Schizosaccharomyces pombe: one gene and its partner. The protein of the gene in region 1 interacts with the protein of each later gene in a biochemical or structural test. Each region holds a gene or a part of one and is shown in the gene's direction. Other genes may lie near its edges.

Region 1 (5,730 bases):
ATCAGAAAGTCGGTTGTTCATGATCCACTTTTTTGCACACTGTAAATATAGATATTGGACATATTCTCAACCAACTGGCAAAAGAAAAAAATTAGGAAAAAACAAGATTACTCTATATTTTTTCCGTTGTCTTCTAATATTGACTTAGCTAATGATTGATTTATTCAATTATTTTCTTATAATAATTTTTTGAATTAAATTAACATAGTTTTATTTTAAACTGGGAAGCGCATCTTGCTCATAATTCAAATTATTGCCCTAAAACCAACATGAAACAGATCCGGCAAACTAGTTTCCACAATATATCGGGATATATCAAGATATGCAAGATATATAAGATACACATATATAAGAGATATAAGATACATATTCAATAATTGTCAAGGATACCTATAATCAAGCAAAAATTAAACTTACGCAAATAAGAATTTCATCTTTATAAAAAAAAAAAAACCATCAAAAAACAAAACAATATAAAAACCCTCCCACTACATGTGAATATCTTGGAAGACTTTTTTTTATAACTAGTACATGCTTTTATTAGTATGTAATGAATAAATGAACGAACAACAACGGATTGACTTCAGTACCACATAAACATTACGAAACCTAGCTAATTCTATCTCACCTGAAGATTATTTTATTTTAGCGGGGCAAATGCAGTCCTTCCCGAACCTCCAAGACTAAGTAACCAGCAAGTAACGGCATCAGGATATCTTACCATTCTTACCCATTAAATTTAAGGAACCGAATGAAATTAGGAACGATGAGCAGTTTAACAAAGTCCTCCTTATTTTTTTTGCGTTGAAATGTAGTTTGTAGTGTCAAGCTGCTTTGTGCTATTTATCGAGCAATGAGAAATAGGAGAGGAGTTATGGTAGCAGGGTATACTTAGTAATGTTTTCATGGACCAAGCGGGGGAGGGGCGAAAAGCATGTCTAGTTCGCTGTATTCAGTTTCAAGACCCCATTTCATGTTTAACATTTGTTCTAGATACGCAAAAATCCCTTTTTTCTAGATTGTTTGCAAGTCCCCATGTCTTCTTTTTTTTATACAGCTGAAAAATTTTCCGACTGTCAGGTAAAACTGGTCAGTTGCGAAAACATGCTTTGCTTCATCTTGGTACCCAATCGTCTATGGATTTTTTATATGTTTCTTTCTAGCTTTGTGATAGCTGCCCACGCTTTGCGATCAAGTTAGTTGCCTTATCCCTTGTGCACTTTACTTTCATATCTGAGTAAATAAGTCTCCGTAACTGGAATTGAACTTGGTAAAATTGGGGCTTGAAAATTTAAAATATTATGAAAGTGAACAAACTCAGATTGGGAAAACACTCATTAAACATTGCTTGGAAAGATTGCGCGTTTTTTGGAACACTTCCTTTGGTCATCTTTGCTATCCCGATTGCTTGCATCTTCAGCCATAAACAAGGGACGACTCATTGAGTTACTAGAGTAGTAATAGAGCAGTATAGTTTAGTAGTATAGAAATGCTGGACCAACCAGTTAATGACATATAAACATAAAACATAAAAAACTATTTTGATGAGCGGCGCTTCTCTATGCGATACTTACATAGAATGCAAAGCTCACACAGGTCTCAGCTTACTGCCTGCTCCCCTCGCCCAAGGTCATAATCGAAGAGTAAGACTTACACTCCAATCTTCTTTACTTGAATGATGCTTGTTTGGTGGTATGTGTTGGATCCTTTTCCAATGTTACATTTTCCGAACTGTCCTCTCTACCCCACTCGAAAAATTAAAATCGTAAATGGATGATGCATGACGTAGTGCCTCATAAATACAAATTATACCAGAGTTGCCGTCTGTCTTTTTCGAAATAGTATAGACGAAATCACCGCTCAGGTACCAATCTAACCATAGTTGTTAGCTACTTAAGCTGTTTGAAGCATCAAAACGCTTGCCCTTTTGCTGCTGCTTGTTGGATTTAGGGTAGTGTGAATTGAAAGTAAGGATTTAATTGTACACTCGGTTAGTTGGACAGTAGTAAGAATTGAGATATTTTGCCTCTAATTCTTCTTTCTTCCTTGTACAATTCTTAATTTTTTTCTCGTTCATCGAAAGACGACGAGAAATCAATTTTCACGAGTTTCTCATTTGTCGCTGCATCTCTTCAACTGATTTCAGCCTTTTCTTCTTGCCTTAATCAACCTTGGTATTCACTCGTACTCACTGTGTCAATTAGCTAGCCGGCTAGCTTCCGACCTGCGATCCTTCCTCATTCTCCTCCACCCCCTGCTTTTCGAGGCATCTGGTGAAACTCAAAAAAAAGTTGAAATTGCGATTTAAAGGTCGCCCATAAAGGGGGTTAATCAAACTTTGCGCGTATAGTTTAGTGACTGACTAATCAATATTTTGATTATTGATTCCTATTCTGTAATATCCCCTTTTGACACCCGCACCCTTGTTCCTACTTAATCATACTTGCTACCTCAACTTTTTTTTTAATACTTTTATTTATTTGCGTTTCACTTTTCTTTCTAACTTGCTCTCTTTCCATTTTATTATTTAATCTTTGCTTTAATTGGGAAAAGAACTGGATTGAAGGCTTTTCTTGGAAAGTCCTCGCCTCTCTGCTGCTACACCTTACCTACCTGCGTTTAACCTTCTTACTTTGTTTCATATTTATTTCTCCCATCTTATCCCAAAAACCCGCTAGCTGTCGGATTGAGAAGTTTGGTGTCCTACTACATCCCCGTATTTATATTCTGCAGTAGTGGATTAAAAAAAAATGACGATTTTTAATGGATTATCTGAAAGCGGTGAATCAAAAAAATTGAACAGCAAAATCGAAAAGCAGATTGAAAATGCCTCGAAGAAGGATAAAAAGATTTACAAAGTGTTGCTTTTAGGTACGTAAACTACTCAATGTTGTTGTTGTTGTTCAATAGTTATATATGCTTGGGCAGTCGAGCAAAAAAGCAGAAAAGATTGAGAAAAAAAATAAAGAAACGAAATGAGTGAAACTATTTACGAAACAGAGAAACTGTTTAAGAAATGACAGAAAATGGTTTGTCTAATTGCGTCTACGTTCTCTACTCTTGGTTACCCTTTCCCTTCAATACTCAGTCAGTGAAGGTGACTTTGATAACGTTCTTCTAGTTAACCACTTTTCGTCGTCGTTGCATGTTGTAATCAGTTGCTCTACACTCTTACCGTTTCTCTCCATTGCATAGCACAGATTTTTTGTTTGATTCCTATAGCAAATTTTCCTTCCTTTGTTTCTTACAATCGTCAGTCTAACCATTGTTTTCTAGGTGCCTCCGATAGTGGAAAAAGTACCATCAGTAAGCAAATCAAAATTCTCAACAAAAATGGGTTTAGTCAAGAAGAGATTATGACATTTATTCCGGTGATCCGACGAAACCTGTTGGAATCTGCTAAAACCCTTGTTAAAATTATCGTTCAAAAAGGTATCAACTTGGACCCTTTAGGAACCCACAATTGCGAGATAATCGAAAAATTTAATCCAACTCCTGGTGAGCTTATTAATGCTAATATTGGCCAAGCTATTACTAGTCTTTGGTCAGCCAATAGTGTTAGATCCTGTACATATGGAAATGATTCCGTACTCATTGACTCTGCCCCTTACTTTTTTTCGCGAGCCGATGAAATTTGCAGTCGGCATTATGTCCCTACAATAGATGACATTCTCCGGTCTAGAAATAGTACTCTGGGTATTTCGGAAATATCGTTCACATTGGATCATTTGCAAATTCGAATGTTCGACGTTGGTGGTCAAAGAACCGAACGAAGGAAATGGATTTATTGTTTTGAAAATGTGAATTCAATCATATTTTGTGTTTCCTTAAATGATTATGATAAAAAGCTTTATGAAAGAGCCGCCCCAGAACGCAATCGTTTGGTTGAAAGTATTTCTTTATTCGACTCTATTATAAACAGTCAGTGGTTTATGCATTCTTCTATCATTCTGTTTTTGAACAAATTTGATTTGTTTCGGAAGAAACTGGAACATGTTCCGTTCCAGGATTACTTCCCCCAATATGAAGGTAAAAATTCTGTTAAAAGTATTACCCGGTATATTCTTTGGTTATTTGTGAACCCTTCTATAAATCGGGCTAAGCATAATATATATCCTCACATTACCACCGCTGTAGACACATCTAACATAAAGGTTGTCTTTTCTGCCGTTAAGGAAACAATTCTACAACACAGTCTGAAAGAAGCGGGAATGTTTTAATTTTAATTTGAAGATAAAATTTACCCTACCATTATTCATATGTTAACAGAAGACCTCTTACTGTCTGCATATGTCTAGAGAGTTCTGAAGCCTCCTTGTAAGAATCGCTTCTTTTACATTCGTTTATTTTTTTTTTTTAATATTGTCCGGAGTTTATTACACATGTTCTTTAAAAATATTTTTCCAATATATACATTGGCTGCTGGAATCTGAAATCACCGATTTGTCTGTAAGGAAAAGGATCGATCTCCTTTTCAGTTGTCTCAGAACGTTCACAGATTGCTATTAAATAATCTCTTTAAGATGACCAAGTTATACAGTTCTAGTTGATATAAATATTTTGTCATTTTTGCGAATATCAATTTGCATTTAATTTTTTACTTTAAACGATGCTGCTGGCGAATGCTTTTAAAGTTATTGAATACTTTCTGTTGAACATAGTCTTAAGATTGAGAAAGTAGATCTCCAGTTTTGATTCGAACATCTATCTCTGCTTTCAGAACTATTGCTATCACTTAATGCTGCTATTTATGAGGGTCGTAGAAAATCCGTTTGAGTACTAAGAGACTTTGAGTGGATACATGATTTAATCGCTTTTGTTTTAGTATTTAGTTTTTAATTGTTAGACTACTTGTATAGACTATTTCACTGAATCATCAAAATTGTTGTCTCTCTTTGTTGGCACCAGAGACTGATACTTTTTACCGACTTTCAGTATCTTTTCTTTAATATATTAATTTACTAATCAAAAAAGCTATTGAACACGTGTATTTCTGCCATGTATAATAAAAAGCCGCACTGTTCTGTATACGTATCAATTTGATTAAATTAGATAGTAATACTACTACATAGATATTCGTTACCCACTTTTAGCTTCTACTTTAGTATATCCACCCATCTTTGTGTTACTGCAGGTTTATTTATTTCAATATTTATTTTGTAAAAACAATTAAGTACATTCGTTAACTAATTATGAGAATTATTGCACTTCCTTTGCCAAATCAAAGGGTATTCTTACATTGTTATCCTTCTGAATACCTTGCCAAAAAAGTTACTATTCACGACAAAATTATAAACAGAATTTACAAGTATTGGGACTCCTGGAGTGCTTCAAAAAGCTATACCAAACAAAAGGTTGTGTCTTTGGGAAACCGAATTTTGCATGCAACTCCTTATGAAGAAAATTTTTTAAGGGCGATTGCTCCTGTTAAGAAGCTAAATGATACAGAATTACACCAAACTTTGTATATTGAACATCCTCCAAATTTGGAATCAAGTACTATTTTAGCTGAGTTGAATCGGTCCAAACAATTACAAAAGACCCATACAAATTACCTTATTGGTAATATTATTGGATTACCATTGACTATACCTTTCATTCTCATACCTCTAATACCAAATATTCCGGGTTTTTATCTTTGTTATAGAGCATACTGCAATTTTCGTGCTATTCAAGGGTCTATTCAATTAGCTCGGGTAATGAGCATAGAAAACATTCAAATGCAGGAAA
Region 2 (3,853 bases), 2.0 Mb from region 1:
TAAGGAGTTTGTTGAATCAGTTAAACAAAAACAAAAGAATCAAGGTAAATGATAAGAATAAGGAAATTTAATGAATCTCTAGTTTTTCTAGTTTTTCCGGTGATCGTTCTTTATTATGAAAATATTTAAACTGTTATTTACACAATAATACTTAAATGCTACATGTCAAAGAAACAATTATAAGTATTTTACCCAGTAGTATAACAACACTTGTAAGTGTTTAGCATGATTAGGAAAAGAACATGAAACGAATTTTAATTGCTGAAAGTTTATAATTATTAGAGAGAAAGCGCGTGAGCTACGTTGAAAAGAAAAATTTCTACGTTGCATATTAAGCTTTGCCGTCACTTCACAACTATACAACAAGACACATATCATAGGAGAGTAAAACAAAATGATAGAAAAAAAAATCATTATTATTCAGTTGAGATTTTTCTGCTCTCGTTGCATACGAGAGATATAGGTTCGAGAAACAATGTTCCAAGCATCCATATAGCGTTCCATACATTTGGAAACGCAAGACTTTTGTCTAGTTAGAATAAAAGTATTTTAATAGTTCTCATACCTTTTCATTGGGATCGAATGTGGAACCAGGCTCCGGGATACATTTATCAAAACAGTTCTCATTGATTTTCTAGATAAACCGATTAGTTAAAACATTCAATAAAACATAAAAAATGAATGGAGCATACACTTATCAATTCGCCAGCTTGAGCAACAGCAAGTTCCTGACGAATTTGTTTCATGAAAATGGATTTTTTGTCTTCAGAAGAAGGTGCATTTCCACTATTTCCACCGAAAATGCCCATTTTGTTTAAGTATAACGTTAAAACTTATGAATGTGGATAATTTTTACTCCTTTACAAGGAAAATTAATGAGGAAATGGTACGTTCGTGGAAAGTACCAAACGGTGTACTTAGGGAGACTAATTCAGAAACCGGCCATCATCACCAATTAGACTTCGTTAATAGAAAATGGATTTTCTAATATGCTGACATATGCGATACAACCAGACAGCAATCTTTGTTTTGTTTTCTACTTGGTATAAAAAAAAAAGATTTAATAAAATATTTCTAAACTAATGGATAGATATACTATTCGGGTCCTTTTGGTGAGTTTAGAAATAAAAGTTTTTTCAGCGTTTTTTTATTATTATTATTTTTAATATTTTAATATACGAAATGAATCGTTCATGACTTTTCATTACCCTTGTTTAGAAAAAAAAATAAAAATCCCAATTTGTAAGAAATTTTTATAGAGTTTTATAGTCTCGAAATTAAATCATGGAATTAGCACATCTTTTACTGCAAATAATCTGAGAATCAAACAAGTCACGTAAACATTTCAATGTTTAATACTGCTAGCGATATTATGGTGTATTAAATTTTATAACAAAAACGAGTTAGCTTGACATTGATAAAATTAATGCGACTGTTATTTACATTGAGAATTATATTGTTAAGTGAAATAGGATTATTCGAAGGAAAATCTATTTCGCTTACTATTCCTTTATATTTCTTTAGAATGATACCTTTGGATTGACTATCAATTGTATCTGTAAATCCACGGACACTTTCTTAATTCTGCGAAACTGCATGGGCGGCAAATTTTTCTTATCTTGAAATCTCTATATAGCCTTGCCCGAGGTAAATAAATAACAGGACGGCTGGGAGGTTGATCTTATCCAGAGCCAAACTCACCACCAAATCTCTTCTGTTTCTTTACAGTGGGAGAAATATTGTTTACCATTGTTATTATTATTATTATAGATATTCCTTTTAGTGTTTATTTTTTAAAACAAAAAAAAATACTTGTAACGAATTTTCATTAAGTATCATCTCTTGGATCGCTAAAATAAATCAGCGAATATTATAGTGCTGAAGCATTACACGTTCGAGGAAGTTGACAAATTTTAATAATTGCTTATCATTCCTATTAAATTAATAGTTTGATTTCCCTTTCAGGTTGCTTCGCTTTTGTAGCCCTTTGTTTCCCGTTCTTTTTATTTATTGTCCTCCACACTCATATAAAAAACTTTGACCATAAAAAGCTTAGACAAGCTCTTCTCAAATTCATTTTAAAATTATCTGTTCGCAAGCATTTTTGTCCCATGTCTGTGATAGCTCCTTCTTTTGATATGGCTAACATACTCACGGAGTTGTCTTCATTTTTAGGAGCATTATCCCTGGGATGTTGGGTCGTTTTACTGATCCCTCAATTACTTGAAAATTATAAAAACCAGTCTGGTGAAAGTATCTCTGATTTATTTTTAATCATCTGGCTTATTGGCGATTTCTTCAATGTACTTGGTTCCATTTACGGAAATGTCTCTTCTACTGTATTGGTTCTCTCATTTTATTACATTGTCTCTGACAGTACCCTACTTATGCAAATTTACTACTATCGTTGGAAAGCTGCCCGTCGTATTGCCAGTCGTGAACACGAACCCTTACTCCAAAGTCGTTCATTAGAAGAAGGTCTTCATGCACCCATTGGTAAACAACAAATTTGGTGGGATCGCCTTTCTACCCGTCAACAATTTGGTGTAATGGGATGTGTGGTTATTGTCTCGACAATCGTTGGAAACTTAATTATTTCTAGTGCCTCTTCTGACAAGAGTGATGATGACTTGAATGCATGGCCGTTTACTGCCGGTTGTATCAGTTCTGTGTTATACTTCTGTGCTCGTATTCCTCAAATCATCAAGAATCACAAAGCAAAGTCTACCGAAGGATTATCCATTATCTTTTTTGTGTTGGCCTCTGTAGGAAACACTTCATACGCTTTCAGCATTCTCGTATTTCCCGCCTCCGATTACTTAAACTACACATATGCTAACCTGCCTTGGATACTTGGCGCGTTCAGCACCATCTTCCTTGATATATATATCTTCTACCAGTTTATCAAGTATCGTAATCATTATTAACACAGCATAATTATCAAAAGGTCATAACTTTACCATTGCGGAATAAGAACGGCTGAGGGAAACAAATCTATGCAAGCGTTAATAATATATTCCATGTCTATAGTTCAAAGTTTTCAGAGGAAACAAAGATATGTCGTTTAGATGCTAGTAGCAACACAATATTCTTTCAAAAACATGTATTCTAATGTCACACATGATGACAGTAAACACTAGTTTGATACTTACCAAGTTGGTTAACCGGTTTATCAAATACATCAGTGCCGTATGAGGCACGGGGAAAGGTAGTGGTAAACTTAGTTGGCGGTGACACGTTCATTTTCTCAGCGACCTGTTGTGCCAATTGGCGTAGCGTCTCCTCAGCTGCAATAGTTATATTACAAACTTGACCATCGTGTCGGATAGAAAATCTGCCTGATGTAGGAGGGGTGCGAGTACAAGTAGAAGACGAATTGGCATTTTTAGGCTGCTTGATGGGAGCAGCCGTTTCTTTTACAGAAGAATTCTTATTTTCCCGTTCTGCAGCTCGTCGTTTTTTATCGCGTTCAATTTCTGCGAGGATTTTCTTACGCTGCTCAGCATCTTCAGCCTTTTGTTGACGGATCTTTTGCAAGTCACGTAAGCGGGCTTGATCCTGCATCTTTCTCATAGCCTGTGCAGTTTCATCATTGGATTTTTGAAGGATTTTATAATTTGTCTTCTTCTCTTCCAGAGCCAAAATCCTTTCTTTTTCCTTTTTCTCCTTTGCTTTCTCTCTTAAAGCTTCAATAGCTTGTTTTAACTCTTCGGGAGAACGCTTCTTAATCTATGTTTTATAATCGTTGTTAATAAAAAGAAAGGATCGAGTGAAACAAATTATTGTTTTCGTGAATTATAATAATAAGGATGGTTAACAATTCGAACGCTTCAACCATTCAGCAAAAAGTAAA

Evidence for each region.
Region 2: the proteins of gpa2 (region 1) and stm1 form a complex in vitro, tested with the Schizosaccharomyces pombe proteins (one study listed by BioGRID).

The regions. Positions count from the first base shown.
Region 1 is NC_003424.3:2,515,336-2,521,065, reverse strand, and holds gpa2 (heterotrimeric G protein alpha-2 subunit Gpa2), read left to right. Parts: upstream 1-1,826; 5' UTR 1,827-2,750; coding exon 2,751-2,871; intron 2,872-3,034; exon of another isoform or gene 3,035-3,276; coding exon 3,277-4,220; 3' UTR 4,221-5,013; downstream 5,014-5,730. Other genes in the region: SPOM_SPAC23H3.12C (hydrogen/potassium transport protein), read left to right, coding at 5,193-5,730. UniProt on the Schizosaccharomyces pombe protein: Alpha subunit of the heterotrimeric guanine nucleotide-binding protein (G protein) involved in glucose-induced cAMP signaling.
Region 2 is NC_003424.3:4,481,034-4,484,886, reverse strand, and holds stm1 (G-protein-coupled receptor Stm1), read left to right. Parts: upstream 1-1,687; 5' UTR 1,688-2,111; coding exon 2,112-2,927; 3' UTR 2,928-2,956; coding exon of another isoform or gene 2,957-2,994; 3' UTR 2,995-3,095; downstream 3,096-3,853. Other genes in the region: endodeoxyribonuclease Pnu1, read left to right, coding at 1-52; TIM22 inner membrane protein import complex subunit Tim13, read right to left, coding at 421-522, 566-634, 693-809; SPOM_SPAC17C9.11C (zf-C2H2 type zinc finger protein/UBA domain protein), read right to left, coding at 2,957-2,994, 3,153-3,729. UniProt on the Schizosaccharomyces pombe protein: Amino acid transporter that moves basic amino acids across the vacuolar membrane. Appears to function as an arginine/histidine antiporter.